Linked DNA regions of Astyanax mexicanus. The protein of the gene in region 1 purifies or fractionates together with the protein of each later gene. This does not show direct contact. Links are inferred from orthologs where the notes say so. Each region holds a gene or a part of one and is shown on either strand. Other genes may lie near its edges.

The links.
Region 2: the proteins of akap12b (region 1) and hspa12a purify together in Homo sapiens (affinity purification with mass spectrometry; 3 studies listed by BioGRID and IntAct, with this or other methods). This does not show direct contact. The link is inferred for Astyanax mexicanus from reciprocal best matches to the Homo sapiens genes AKAP12 and HSPA12A.

The regions. Positions count from the first base shown.
Region 1 is NC_064408.1:79,034,888-79,042,366, reverse strand, and holds the start of akap12b (A-kinase anchor protein 12b), read right to left. Parts: upstream 3,258-7,479; 5' UTR 3,131-3,257; coding exon 3,071-3,130; intron 1-3,070. UniProt on the Homo sapiens protein: Anchoring protein that mediates the subcellular compartmentation of protein kinase A (PKA) and protein kinase C (PKC).
Region 2 is NC_064421.1:30,075,801-30,084,000, reverse strand, and holds the start of hspa12a (heat shock 70 kDa protein 12A), read right to left. Parts: upstream 3,025-8,200; 5' UTR 2,828-3,024; coding exon 2,749-2,827; intron 2,137-2,748; exon of another isoform or gene 2,076-2,136; intron 1-2,075. UniProt on the Homo sapiens protein: Adapter protein for SORL1, but not SORT1. Delays SORL1 internalization and affects SORL1 subcellular localization.

The DNA.
Region 1 (7,479 bases):
AACTAACAAGTTATGGTGAGCTAGCTGTTTGTAACTAATAGCTACATTACAGCAAGGTAACTTTCATAACTAACATGTTAGGGTGAGCTAGCCGTTATTAGCTAACTTACATGTTATGGTTAGCTAGCAGTTTATAGGTAACAGTTACATTTTGGCAAGTTAACCTTTATAACTAACATGTTAGGGCAAGTTAGCCTTTATTAGCCAACTAACAAGTTATGGTGAGCTAGCTGTTTGTAGCTAATAGTTACATTACGGCAAGGTAACTTTTATAACTAACGTTATGGTGAGATAGCTGTTTATAGCTAATAGTCACATTTTGGCAAGTTATCCTTTATAAGTAACATGTTAGGGTGAGCTAGTCTTTATTAGCCAACTAACATGTTATGGTAAACTAGCTGTTTGTAGCTAATAGCTACATTACAGCAAGGTAACATGTATAACTAACATGTTAGGGCGAGCTAGATTTTATTAACTAACTAACATGTTATGGTGAGCTAGCTGTTTAAAGAGCTACATTACAGCAAGTTAATCTTTATAACTAACATGTTATGACAAGCTAGCCTTTATTAGCTGACAAGTTATGGTGAGCTAATTTTATCTAGCTAACATACTATGCTAAGCTAGCCTTTTAGAGCAACCTCTTGCTAAACAGTTTAATCCTAGTGTCCACCTAGCATCAGCCTTAGCAACTACATGTAAATGTGAGCTGCTCAACCCTTTGGAGTTTTATTCAGGTAAGCTAACATCGTTTCTAGTTCATTTTAGCATAGTGTGTTCTCTGTATTCAAAATATACATGGATATAGCCTCAATTTCTGCAATTTTTAATGTTTGTATGTTGGCATTTGTTAACTGTTTTGTCTTTGGCATGAATTAACATACAACTCTGAATAGAATTAAGAGACCACTTCAGTTTCTGAATCAGTTTCTCTGATTTTGCTATTTACAGTTCTATGTTTGAGTTAAATGAACATTGTTTTAATCTATAAACTACGGACAGCATTTCTCCCAAATTGCAAATAAAAATATTGTCATTTAGAGCATTTATTTGCAAAAAATAAGAAATTAATGAAATAAGATAAAAGATGCAGAGCTTTCAGACCTCACATTATACAAAGAAAACAAGTTCATATTTATAAATGTTTAAGATTTTTAATCACAGTTCTCATGCATCTTAATTTCTATTATATATACACTACAGTGTAGTGCATAACCTTTAAAGTGGGCAGCAGGGCAAAAAGACAATAACATTAAGGTATTTGATGACATTGTCACACATTTATGCCCAGTTTTGTTCATTTGAAAGGGACACTCTAATACATAATACATTTGCACACACTGCACAACTAACATTATCTTACAAAGCAAGTCAGGGAAGCACACTCTGACAGAATTTATGCCAGTAACAATACAACATCATCATATTGCCCCCTCCTTATGCAACATCAGAACACACTCAGATGCAGCGCAGCTTTACAGTACAGCAGTGACCTCTAAATGCAGACTCTGCTACGGGACAGCTTCCTCTCTTTATTACTGCAGTCAGGCAGCACTAGCCGAAGCACAGCAGGATAAACAACACCAGCACAGACAACTCCAATACATATGATGCCAGTGCTCATCCAGCAGCCGTAAACAGCCCCCCTGCTTCACATACTGAAGTATTTTCCTTGTCCGACACACCACTATGAGCTCATGAAGGGCTTATTAATACGCTGAAAGCCGTGTCAGGTGTGCAGGAGAGCAGGAAAAAAAAACATTAAGCAGGGCTGAAGTTCAGGAGCATGACTGGGTCACACTGCTGTAATCTAGAGTCAGGATATCCAGAACACACTGCAGATTAACCAGGGCTGACCAGGACACCTGCATATTCAATCCATTTCGGTGTCACTGATGCACTATGTGTCCAAAGGTTTGTGGACACTTGTTCATTAATATTTATTCATATGAATTCAAAACAGTTTGATGTGTACTGTGCATCAATGACTTAAAACTACATGCTAGAAAATTGCTGTAAGTATTTGATTGCATTCAGCCACAAGTTTATTAGCCCAGACCATCACAATTATTCCAGATCATCCCAATTATTCCAGATCATCCTAATTATTTCAAATCATTCCAACTATTCCATGCTATTCTGACTATTCCAGGCCATTCCAACTATTCCAGATCATTCCAATTATTCCAAACCATTCCAAATATTTCAGATCATTAAAATTATTCCAGACCATTCCAGTTATTTCAGACCATTCCAACTATTCCAGACCATTGTTATTATTCCAGATCATTCCAACAATTCCAGACTATTCCAACTATTCCAGATAATTTCAACTATTTCAGACTATTTCAACTATTCCAGATCATTCCAACTATTCCAGATCATTCCAACTATTCCAGATCATTCCAACTATTCCAGATAATTCCAACTATTCCAGACTATTCCAACTATTCCAGTTCATTCCAACTATTCCAGATAATTCCAACTATTCCAGACTATTCCAACTATTCCAGATCATTCCAACTATTCCAGATAATTCCAACTATTCCAGACTATTCCAACTATTCCAGTTCATTCCAACTATTCCAGATAATTCCAACTATTCCAGAACATTCCAATTATTCTGACTATTCCAACTATTCCAGGTCATTCCAATTATTTTAGATAATTTCAGTTATCCCAGATAATTCCAAAAGTAACACATTTCTACTGCTCCACAGCTCAATTCTAGGGTGGGGGATCTATACCTCACCAGCCCACCCTGGGCATGTTGATCTATAGGCTCAGGTGCACCTGCTGCAGAGTGTCCCATTCTACTGGTCAGTGCTATTCTATAGAGGTTATATTACAGGTGTGTAGGCTGAACACCTGTGTCAGCAGTAGATGATACTTCTGCACATGTAAACATACATTCAGACATTCGACTTCTTTACTAGTTGTCTCACAGATTGAGTTCACCATGGGGGAGCATGTGGTGTGCGCATCTGCGTGTGAGTGCGTGCGTCACAGCTGGATGTGGGGGTGAGTGTGAGGGGGTCAGGTGTGTGTGTGTGGATGCACAGTGCGGTACCTTCTCCTCGGCGTCCTCCACCTCCTCCCCGGGGCTCTGCGCGGATGTGCTCGCTCCCATCGCGACTCGAAACCAGGGCAAAACTACCGGCAGCGATAAACAGAGAGTGAGAGAGAGAGAAGCAGAGTCCAGCACGATTCCAGCAGCACCGAGCTCAGGGTCGACCGCCTTCTGGAGAGATGAAATGGCTGAGAGGACTTTTAGAAACCCTCCTCCCCCTCCTCCTCCTCCTCCTCCTGCAGACCCGCCCTGCTGCACCGAGAGCAACCTGCACCCACCACCAGCAGCACCACCAACAACACAGAGAGAGAGAGAGGATATACAATCAATACAACTTACAGTTAATTATACACTATAAGATATACAGTATAAACATGAGTTTGTTTATTTATTTATTTATTTATTGTTTGGTTATTTTCTATTTTTTTCTATTTCTATTATTCAATTGATTTTTAGCTATTGTATCATCTTACTTTTTCTTTATTTGTATAAAGTGTACTAAACATTATTTTTATGCACATGAGCACATTGTTAAAAGCATTTAGATTCCATACGTTATTCATTTATTTATTTATTTATTTATTTATTACTTCTAGTACTATTTATTTATTTTATAGTTGCTTTATGTTCTCATTTTATTTTTAGTTATTGTAACATTTTCGTTTTTCTTCATGTGTATTTAATAATATCATAGTATACTGTTTTGCACCTAAGTGCATTATTAGAAACATTTATCTCAGCAATTACAGAGTTTATAATAGTAAATATTTCAGATAAAGAAGGGAAATGAATGGGTTGGAATGAGAGAGAGAGAGAGAATATACAATCAGTAGAACGTACAGTTAATTATACACTATAAGATTTAGAGTATAAACATTGTGAGACTTTACATTTACATTATTTATTTATTGCTTGTTTTTTTCTACTATTTATTAGATTTTTAGCTATTGTATCATCTTACTTTGTCTTTATTTGTATATAGTGAAGTAAACATTATTTTTATGCAAATGAGCACATTATTAAAAGCATTTAGATTCCATACGTTTCAGTTTTTATTTATTTATTTGTTTGTTTATTTACTTCTAGTACTATTTATTTATTTTATAGTTGCTTTATGTTCTATAATTCATTTTATTTTTAGTTACTGTAACATTTTCATTTTTCTTCATGTGTATTTAATAATATCATAGTATACTGTTTGCACCTAAGTGCATTATTAAAAACCTTTTTTTTCAGCAATTACAGAGTTTATAATGGTAAAAATTCCAGTTAAAAAGGGGAATGTGTGCAAGAGAGAGAGTTTTAAGAGTTCGAAAATATCCTGTATATTGTAAGGGGTTAGCTTACCTAATTTACCAAAACCAATTTTACCAAACCGGGTGTTGGATGTTAACTTCAGACTCCAAAAAAAGTGGGATGCTGTCTAAAATGTAAATGAATGTAAATAAAAGGAGATAAAATAAAATGTCTTAATTTAGACATTTTAGACAAAATCACAAAAAAAATCACACCATATTACTTAACTGAACACATAAGGCATTTTTATAACATATAACATTTTTAGAATACAATTTTATTTATTACTACTGTTATTGTAATCAAATTATAATATAACTAGCAAAGTGCCTGAAAAGGCAGGACGATAGCCCAGATTACTTTTTTCTCACTTGTTTACCTGCTTCAACACACCCCTACACTTTTCAAGACTGTTTTGTAGATTGGTTGTAGGCTGCTATGATGTGTTTAAATGGCTGCGGGTGGTCTCTACGGTATTCCATGAAGTTGCTCTGTTTTTGCAAAGTCGTTGCTTAGTAGTTGCTATGTTGTGGCTAAATGGTTGCTACAATGTATCTCAGTGGATACTAGGGTGTTGTTAAGTGGTTGCTGTGTCTGCCATATGGCTGCTCAAAGGTATTAGTTGGATGCTCAGATGTTTCAATGTGTGCACTTGTAACACCCAACTTTAGGCCCCATTCTTTAGTGTGAGGATAAATCTGAACGTTGTTAACATCTCAAGAACTGTGGGAGAAGATGCAGTAACTTACAAAAGTGAGTACACACCTCTCACATTTCAGCAAATATTTTATTATTACTTTTTACTTTTCATGAAACAACACTATAGAAATAAAACTTGAATATAGTGGTCAGTGTGTAACTTGTATAGCAGTAGATTTACTGTTTTTTGAAAATAATTCAACACACAACCACTAATCTCTAATAATAGCTGGCAATACTACACAAGCTCACAGTAAACCAATTGTGCTTACTTGTGTTGTATTCCTCCCTGATGTCATGTGACTTAAGGCCAATTTATGCTTCTGCATCAAACCTATGCTATAGCCTACATGTACCCTAAGTGTGACTGCGTACCCTAACGTCATAGTCTTTTAGTAGCCTGACACACACATCCCCAGCATTGTAACTACACACACATCCCTGCCTTAATGGTTTGAAATGCAGAACATTGCAGACTTGCCAACACAGGTTTGAGCGGGCACATTAGCGTAGGGCACTTGCACAGGAATGTTAAATTTGGTGCTTTTGGTACAATTTTTTAATACTGGGCTCTTGATATTCAGCATGACAGCTCATGACAAAGAACTCTCTGAGGATGGGAGAAACAGAATTGCTGCTCTCCACAAAGATGGCTAAGCTATAAGAACTTTGAAAATGGAAGAATCATACATATTGTAAGTCATAATTGCTCAGATCTGATTTTTTTAACTAAGAACAGTTTGTGCACAATTATCTCCTATAATATCCTGGTATCTCCACACATTTCTCAACACAGTCCCACGAGTCCCCAGTGCTGTTTACATATGGTGACTGAAGACTGGATGTTCATTACATCATCTAGACTTCCTCACTCATCAGCCCACTCCAGAACTTCATGTGCAGTGTGTGGCATTATGCATTGTCTTATTTTGGCAGATCAAGTTTGTTTGCGATTCTCCACCATAGAATGAAGGATACTACATCCTCCAAACACATTCAAAACAGCTGCTAAACGTCAGTGTGTGACAGTATGCTCATCTGAGCAATTCGTTTTGACTGCCAGTGTTATCATTAAACAGGATGTGTTTGCATATTTGAAATTCTATACTGACGATCACAGAAACAGTCTAAATCTTCATGTGATATGCTTCGCTATGATTTTACAATCAGAAGGGTATTTAGTTTACATTGTTCTTGGAGCAGCAGAGCAGGATACTCTGAGGAGGAGCTGAGGAAATACCACATTAAGACAGGCAGGGGCAGACCGCCCAGCACAGCGGCTCTGTGGGTGAGAGTGGCAGCGATCGCTGAGCCTCTGGCCTCCCTCACTGTCATTTACTCTGGATTCCTCACACTAATCACAGAGCCGCACTTTAACAACTAACTTCACACAGGCCAGACCTCTGCAGCTCTGCTACAGAGTAAACATATTTTACACTGACCCAGATAGATAGATAGATAGATAGATAGATAGATAGATAGATAGATAGATAGATAGATAGATAGATAGATAGATAGATAGATAGATAGATAGATAGATAGATATACACAGTTTAGTCAAATATAATGACCACTTCCTTATTTCTAAACTCTTCTATAACTACAGACTGTAGAGCTGTTTATCTGTATACCTTAATATCCTCCTTTCTACCTGATTATTTAGGTGGTCCATCATTCTCAGCACTGCAGTGACACTGGCATGTTGGAGGTGTGTTAAGTCCTTTCCGGACGGGATTATTTTCTCAGGGGGACGTCTGTGAGAAATATTTCACACTTCTACTCAGTGATAAAACTCTTGCATCCAGACTGCAATTAAAAAAACAGGAGGACCAATGAGTTTTTAGGCTTTCTCAGTCACGTGACATCACATTCAGTAGCTCCTCCATTTCCACTCGCTGTTGTGTTTACGTGAATCTCAGAGAAAAAACTCAGAGATGTGAATTTGGAAGGGACTAAAGTTACCGGAGGACCAAAAAGTTCACCGTAGGCAACTCAGAGGACACACTTAATTTTCTCAGAGGATACCTGGAAAAAAAAACAAATACATGGTCGTTCTGGACGGGAATAAAATCACAGAGGACCCTTGAGAAACTAATCCCATCCGGAAAGGGCTTAAGTGTGTGTTGGGCTGGGATGAACAAATCAGACACAGCAGTGCTGCTGGAGTTTTTAAACACTGTATTCATTGACTGTTCACTCTATTAGACACTCGTACCTAGCTAGTTCCACCTTATAGATGTAAAGTCAGAGACAGAAACTCCTTTAGTCCTTCATCAGTGGTCACATGATGCGGCCAACAAGATGCTGTCCACCGGACACTGTTGTGTTGATATTTCTGGTTGGTGGACTATTCTAGGGTTAGCACTGACACTGAGGTGTTTAAAAACTCCAGCAGCACTGCTGTGTCTGATCCA
Region 2 (8,200 bases), on another chromosome or scaffold:
TGCTGTAACAGCTGTATACAAAGGACAATAAGTGGCAAACAAGCTTCTGAAAAGTAAGTTATGTTTATTACCTGTGATTACCACGGTTGTGTGCATATTATTAAAAGTTCTGCTTCACAAAACGCCTTGTTTGCCACTTATTGTCCTTTGTACACATAGTGAAGTCCGAGACGTTACTGAAGACGCAGCTTAGCTGGTACAGCATCTTTTAAGGTCCCCCGGGAAAATTCCGTTGTGTTGTGACTCACTTCCGTTGTGTTGTGGTTCTATTTGCAGCGCGTTTTTCTATTTGCAGCGCGTTTTTCTATTTGCAGCGCGTTTTTCTATTTGCAGCGCGTTTTTCTAGTTGCGGCGCCTGTGTTGTAATTTTGATGGATGTGTTTTGTGCTTTTGCGGCGCTTTTCAATTTGCACTGCGTTGGGCTTTCTCGGCCACCGTACCCTCTGTACTGTCATTATTTACTTACTATTAGATTCAGACTGAATCAATTAATCAATCAATCTATATTAAACTTTCCATCTATTTTAATGATTCTCATTTATTTTTGACGCAGGGTTACAAAATGATGCAAGTCACATTTATGCTCATTTCTAAATTATACAATGATGATACTTGACTAGTTGTGCAGGGTTGGCTGAATCTATTTACTGATTCAAATGCTTCTTTTAAACTATTTAAAAGGATTACCAAGTCAACTTTATTCTCAATCCTAGCATATACTAAAACTGTGAGCGACACAAGTGAATCAGTCTGATGTTAATAACCCATTTTTCTTGGTGCAGGGCTGGCTGAATCAATTTATCATTGTAAATCAAATGTGTGATTTATTTCCCAAGCAAACTATCTTTAAATTTTTAGCATACCCAATGATGTTAAACTCAGTATATCAAACTAATGGTCATGGATCGTCATTGTGGGCACATGGCTGGCCCACAATTAATTTAATAAATCAAGTGATTCAAAAGCTTCAAGGATTGTCAATGCAACTTTATTGATATTTGAAGCCTATACTACCACAACTGACTGAGTGAATCAGTCTAATGTTAATAGCATCACTTATCTAGGTGCAGTACAGACTGAATCAATTTATTGAATCAAATTATTTTAGAGAGATTTAAGGTTTCCCCGGGTCAACTTTATTGGCATTTCTAGCCTATGCAACGACAATTGCTTAAGTGAATTAGTCTGAGATTAATGATTCATTTCTTTAGGTGCAGGGCTGGCCAAATCAATTTTGTCAATTTAATGAAAATTTAAATCAAATCATTATTTTTTGTGCCAGAGCTTCTTTAAGCTACGTTAATTACTCTATTAAACTTTATTCTCATGTCTAGTATAAACAATTATAATACTTGGCTCTATGAATCAGTCTGAATTTCATGAGACATTTCTCATTTGATTCATAACTCGTTTCAAATTAGAATCAAACGTTTGATTCAAAGATTCATTTTTTTTAAAACTGCAATCTAATAACATTGACTCAGCATGTGAATCAGATTTGGATCACTTCTGTTCATTAATAGAATCCGACTCATCTTTCAAAGACACACAACGTGGAACACCGCAGCACGAATATTTACCTTGTTGTTTGAAATATGATGTATAAAGAGCATTATTCTGAATTTAGCCAGGTTAATAGCACCCCGCAGTCCCTATAAAGCGGACGCAACGAAACGAATCGGTACACTTTAAAGAATCGACTCCTACACCACAACCCGCATTACATCAGCGGAGTGTCCTTTTCCTAAAGGACAATTCTGCAAAGCAGTTTATCAACCCATAATATTCACCATACAGCTTTACAATAAAACCAGCCCTGCTGGAAAACGCCAAAAGAGGCTCTCACCACACACACGCACGCAAGCACGCGCGCATTTACGCAGTCGTTCACTTCAGTGCAACACTGCAGTGCACTGAACTACCTGCAAATCTGCTGGTTCTCGTGCTTTTTTGGGGTGGGCGTGCAATAAAAGCCTATATATGTAAACAACGGCTCAGCTGCTCGTGCACTAGATGCATTCAAGTTAAAAGGGCATTTCTCTGCATTTGTGCGCATGCATGATATAGGCTCCTACCTCTCTTCTCAGCGCTCTTCACCTGAGGTGGTGATGATGGTGAGGAAGAGGAGGAGGGTGACGATGATGAGGCACGCAGACTTTTGCTGCATTGCCTGCATTGCCTCGACGCCCCACGTGACTCCAGGCTGCGCTCCAAATGGCAGCAATTCTCGCAACCCATGTTGTTATGTTGTAAATGGGAGCTCACTTAAAAGGGTGCACTGATTGTAAATAGCAGATATAGCTCTTTTGCAAAAGTTTGGATGTAGAAAAAAACATTCTTTGGCAGGATGTGGGGGTGTTAGGTTTTCATTTAATTAAGAATGCCTTTGAAAAAAGTCTTAAAACAACAATAATGCATTAAAAAGTGACTTTTCATTAGTTTTATCACTTTTTGCCCGCAGTATTTTCGAATTCTCCCGTTCCACCTTAAATAGCGCTGCAGTTGCGTTATGGCGCCTTGAGCGCCAGAACGCAACTGCAGCGCTATTTAAGGTGGAACGGGATTATTCGAACTTTCAGCTGTAACTCCACCGTTTAACGCGTTTTGCTCCACAGTATGAAGTAACTGAACCTAGTGGGCGGTGTTTTCATGCATGCATCCCTTTCTAATGACCAAACCACCGCTTTTTACGCAACTTAAACCCATGCAAAACTTCTCAATAGTGTAAAAGTGTAGCACTTTTCTCACCTGTTATATCGTCTTCTATCACAATCGAGTCTTTGTCAGCCATCGTGTAACTCCTGTCTGTTTTCAGATCATTAGACATCCAACGCCAAGCGCTTCATCCACTTTCTCCTCCCTCTTTCCCCGTTCAGGACTCAAGTTTGTCCCCTCGACTCTCTTTTTTTCTGACACCTTGGAGAAAGGAAGTCCACTGTGGGCGATTTTCCGTCTGCTTAGCTCCCCCTCCAGCCCCCTGCTCGACCCTCCGGCTGCTTCCACTGACCTAATGACTCGCTGTGCCTCGCAGGGTCTGTGTACAGTGGAGATGAAGGGCTTGGCGAATCGATACTCATTCGATCCGTGAGAAAATGTTTTGATTCTTAGATTAATTCTTAACGATACTAAGTCAAAAAAGGAACTAAACGCTAAAACATATTTATTTTTATTAATAGCTAAAAATGTGTCAGAAAAATCAACTTAATGTCCTCAACCTTCTGCCTTTGAATTAGCATTTTACATTTTATCAGCATACAATAAAAAAAACGGTTGGATGGAGGGATAAAAAAAAGTGTTTTTATTGCATTTGCAGTTATTGCTTTTTTATTTGGCACCAATTCTTCACCATACCTTGGGGTATGTTCATGTTCTATTTGTTTTACTGTTGTGTTTCCAGCTGTTTAACCAGATTGGTAGTGGTGGGTAACTTTCTTTATACTCAGCTTTACTACAGTGATGTAAGTTTATTGTTAACACTCTGTTAACCATAGGATTTTCTACTTTTAGTGAGCTATGGTGTAGTAAATGTTAAACGTACAACGTTGAAACTATGTTGCCATATCAATGTTAATATACATGTTGTCTGAGTAAGAGAGAGTTACTTTAATCCATATCTGAACAATAAAAAAATAATCTTCTGAACTCCACAGTAGCAATGCCGTGTTTCCATTGCTAAAAAAAAAACTCAAAATAAAATCATTAATACGACACCTAGCACCTGGACTTTGGGGCCAAACTTAATTAATTTGTCTTAAAAATAAAATAATTGAATAATAAAATAATGTTTCCAAATTAATCGCATGTGTCACCCTAAAAAGCAAATTTATAAGCAGTACAAGCATATCAAAATCATCTATAGGCTTGACACAGCACCCTTACACACACACACTCACGCACACATCCTGAAAGGAAAGGTGGGGTTCAGAGTTGTGTTGTTTTAACACAATAACTCCAGCTTTGGCGGGTCCACGACCGGAACCCCACAGCTTTAGCTGCTCTTGATTCTAGTGATGAATTTCACCCTGAAATCTCCTGGAATCTGAAATTGTTCCTTTACAACAGAACTGAGCTGAACATTAAAAGCAACTGTACCTAATCAGCAAACTGACCCATTCAGAATAGTGAAGAGTGGTGAAAGTTCTAAAAGCTCCTTAAAGAACCTTATTACACATAATAGTTATGAATACACTGCCAGATACCCAACATACTGTATTAGAGTGTTAGAGTTCTGAGAAGATTTGGGTCTTAAAATGTACAACCCTACATCAGATAAGACTGGAACAGTATGAAAAATAAACTCTTTGACTTTAATTAATTGTTGACCGAATTAATCCAAAATAATTAATGTTTTATCTTTCATTTACAAATCCAATTTAGGTAAAAAGCTAAATTATCATTTTAAACAGGCATGATTTGGTAGCAAAACAGTATCTAGTCTTTAAAGATGCCCAATGAATCTCCAGTTTGTAACAAATGTTTAAAAAACGATTTTCCCCAAAAAAGACTGCATTTTCTCCCCTCTGCGATGCATAACATTATCAAATTACTTAAGGAATCTAAAGGAATTTTAGTGTTTGATCTAAATTCACAAACTCCACCTAAAACTCTACTGTTCAAAACAGAAGCCTCATGTTAATCCTGTCCAGAAGCAGCATCAACTTCTCTGGGCTCGGAGGCTCGGAGCTAAGGCTTCATTAGCAACCCATCCAAAAATCTGATTCTGTCATGGTATGGGGGGGGCGGTAAACTTCTGTGATGCAGCAATAACATATATCTTGGAGCAGGGGTCCGCAATTAAGTTATTTTCCGTGCCATTATGTGCTGAAATGGGATGGAGCGCTATAGACTAGTAGCTCTCCAACTCAGAGGGTTGTTGAACCCAATTGCAGAACAGTTGAATTCCAAGCAGATAAACCCAAGAGAAATGAGGGGGGAAAAAATGTTAAACACACCGCTCCACACACGGGATCGAATCCGACACGTCAGGGTCGCTGTCCAATACCCTGTTGATGCCCCAGCTAGTGAATTGGGACACACCCAAAAGTTGAGTTCAGTTTCAGTAGCCACAATCAGGCCTTTTAACTGCCAAACCTGTAAAATCAAGAAATATTGTAAATAGAACCTACCTGACAACATGAAGCAGAATAAAAGATCTCAAAGCAATACATTATTTAAAGACAGATGAAATTTAAAAACAGATGAGAAAACAAAGTCATTGATCATCAGTCTGGAAAAGGTTACAAAGAAAGAGCTATTTTTTTTTTTACAAATGGAGAAACCTTGGAACACCGGTGAAGTGTGGATGGCCTACCGACATTATTTGTATTGATCACTAATACTTAGGGAAAATATTTGTGGGCTAACGAGACAAAAGTGGAACTATTTGGAAGGTTTGTGTCCCGTTACATCTGGTGTAAAACTAACAAATAATTTCTGAAAAAGAACATCATACTGAACATAAAACATGTTGGTGGTAGTGTATGGGCTGCTTTGCTGCTTCAGGACCACGACAACTGGCTGTAATTGATGGAATCATGAGTTCTGCTCTCTACAAGAAAATCCTGTAGATGAATACACAGCCCAACTGTTTGTGACCTTAAGCTCAGGTGTACTTGGGTTCTGCAGCAGAACAATGATCTGAACCAGCAAGTCTACCTCTGAATGGCCTAGTCAAAGTCTGATTGAGATGCTGTGGATGATTTTAAACAGTTCATGCCAGGAAACGTTCCAATGTGTCTGGATTAAAACTGTTTCATAAAGAAGAGTGGGATAAAATTCCTCCACAGAGATGCGAGACTCATTGCTAGTTATCACCAAGGCTTGATTGCAGTTGTTGCTGCTAAGGTTGGCACAACCAAGTTATTAGATTTAGGGGGCAAACACTTTTTCACACAGGGACATGTAGGTTTGCATAGATTTTTTTCCCTTAACAAATTATCATTTAAAAACACCTTTTTATATATTCACTCAATACATTCTTTTGATATTAAAATGTGTTGACAAAAAAAAGCAAAGAAAAAAAACTGTAAAATACTTTTCCACAGCACTGTAAATACACTAATAACAGCTAACAGAGATAACCCGGTACTGCACCTAGGACCTGGTTCTGCCAGGAGAAAGATAATGGCGGTGATGTTACTAATGGTTGGTCCTGTCCGGTGCAGCCAGGCCACCATAAAGCAGCTGCTTACCCCATCTAGTGGTCACTTCAAACCTCTGACCTGTAAGGCCCTCTAAAGAGCAGATCAGTAGCAACAAAAAAAAAAATGTTTCAACACAGGTCCAATCAGAGTGGAGTGTGCACTTGTAAGCTGAGGTCAGCTTTATTGTTAGTTATTTTGTCACCTTTCTGTGCTAAGGTAATCATTCACATACTATATGTAGAGAAGTATTAAGACACCTACTCAATCAATGATTTGTCTGAAGTCAACGGTATTAAACAAAACAGTGTCATGGATCTGAGGTGTGTAAAAAAAAAAAAAAAGGAAATTCTGAGTACAGACATGCCAGCAGAAACATCTGTTAATTGCTCTTCCTGTTCCTGCAATACATGAATTAGTTTGTTGAATGTTCTTAAAATCTATTTTTCCCCTTAGCAGACAGATGCTCTATTTTAGCTTACTAATATAATAATACCTGCTCTGTAAATTAAAACACTACTCTGGGAAAGCTCAAAAGTTAGCATTTATTTAGTCTTACTTAGAAGCTGAGCACTGTAAGACTTACATGTAGTAGCAAGATGGTCTCTCAAACAGAGGTGACACTGCCCTTGTATAGGGAAGTTTCCCGCCTTTGGAGTGGGCCATACCACTCTTGAACCTAGGGCAGGGGGGTATTATAGTGGTGTCTGGTTTGATTCGGCAATGATATTGTTAGGTAAACCTTTTGTTTATGCTTCAATATATATATATATATATATATATATATATATATATATATATATATATATATATATATATATATATATATATATATATTGTGTGTCAGTGTTTCTATATTATTTAGGATAAAGCCTACAAGTTGACTATAATTGGGAATTGAGTTAATTGGTCTTGTTTAGTTGGACTGGCCCAGAGAAGGGGCCAATGCTTAATAGTAGTCGGCGCCATTGTTGTTTATGCTCATATTTTCGGTTCCCAAGCTGTTCAAGTGAATGGGGAGTTTGAATGGGCTTTTCAAAAACTGGCCTCTCTCACATTCTGTGGTAAATAAATATGTTCAGAACCCTGTACGTTTTATTCTGTGTACATTTACCTCCTTAATATCATTGGATCCTCTGAATTTTGAGATTTAAGGGTAGTTTTTAGAAAAATGCTAACTTTAAGTTAATGCTTAACTCACGTCACACTACAACAGCTGGTCAGATCGCGTTTTGGATTCTTCTTCTTCTTCTTCTTCTTCTTCTTCTTCTTCTTCACAGATGAAGCAATTAAACAGGTGAAAACTCTTTCAGTGATGTTGAGCAGTGTAGTCTGTGTTTGAGCTTTAAAAGGCAGATAATAAGAGAAAATGGCTCTCAGTTCAGCAGCGCTTTCCCGCAGGTTTAGTATTTAATTACAGTCATTAGTTTATACTAATTACAACACCTGACCCAAATAATCACTAATCACACTGAGGCGACCATGAACCGGAAACACCACATTTTTTCACACCATAATAAAGACGGTAAATGTTAAAACATGGTACAGCTGGTTTTGGAGGATCACAGACCTGTTTTAGTAATTTTATGCTGTAACACTCTCAGCTCTCTTTAGTAAGCGCAGTTAGTTCATTAGTTGGCTCAGCTGTGTATAATACGCTGTACAGTTAGGGCCGGAGTTCGCTGGTGTTGCGCCGAAAAGAGTTCCCTGCTGATCTCTGCAGCTGTTCTGGGAGTAACTCTGCTGTAGCATTAGCTTAAAAGTTAGCATTTTTCTCATTACGACTCTTAAACGATCTCGTTATTCAGAGGATCCAGTGACACGGAAGCCGTTCGAGGACTACAGAATGATACACAACCTCAGTGGTCTATAAAGAAGAAGCTCCTAGAGCCAGTTTAGTTTGTGTTTTGCACCCTAGAGGCTGGTAGAAGTAGGGGGCACAGATAGTTAGCTTGTTTCTCTAGCAGGCCTATAAAGACAATTTTTCTTTCTATATATTTTTGTAAGTTTTGTTTATTTGCTTTCTTTTCTTGCTTGCTTCTATGCACTGTAAATATTTG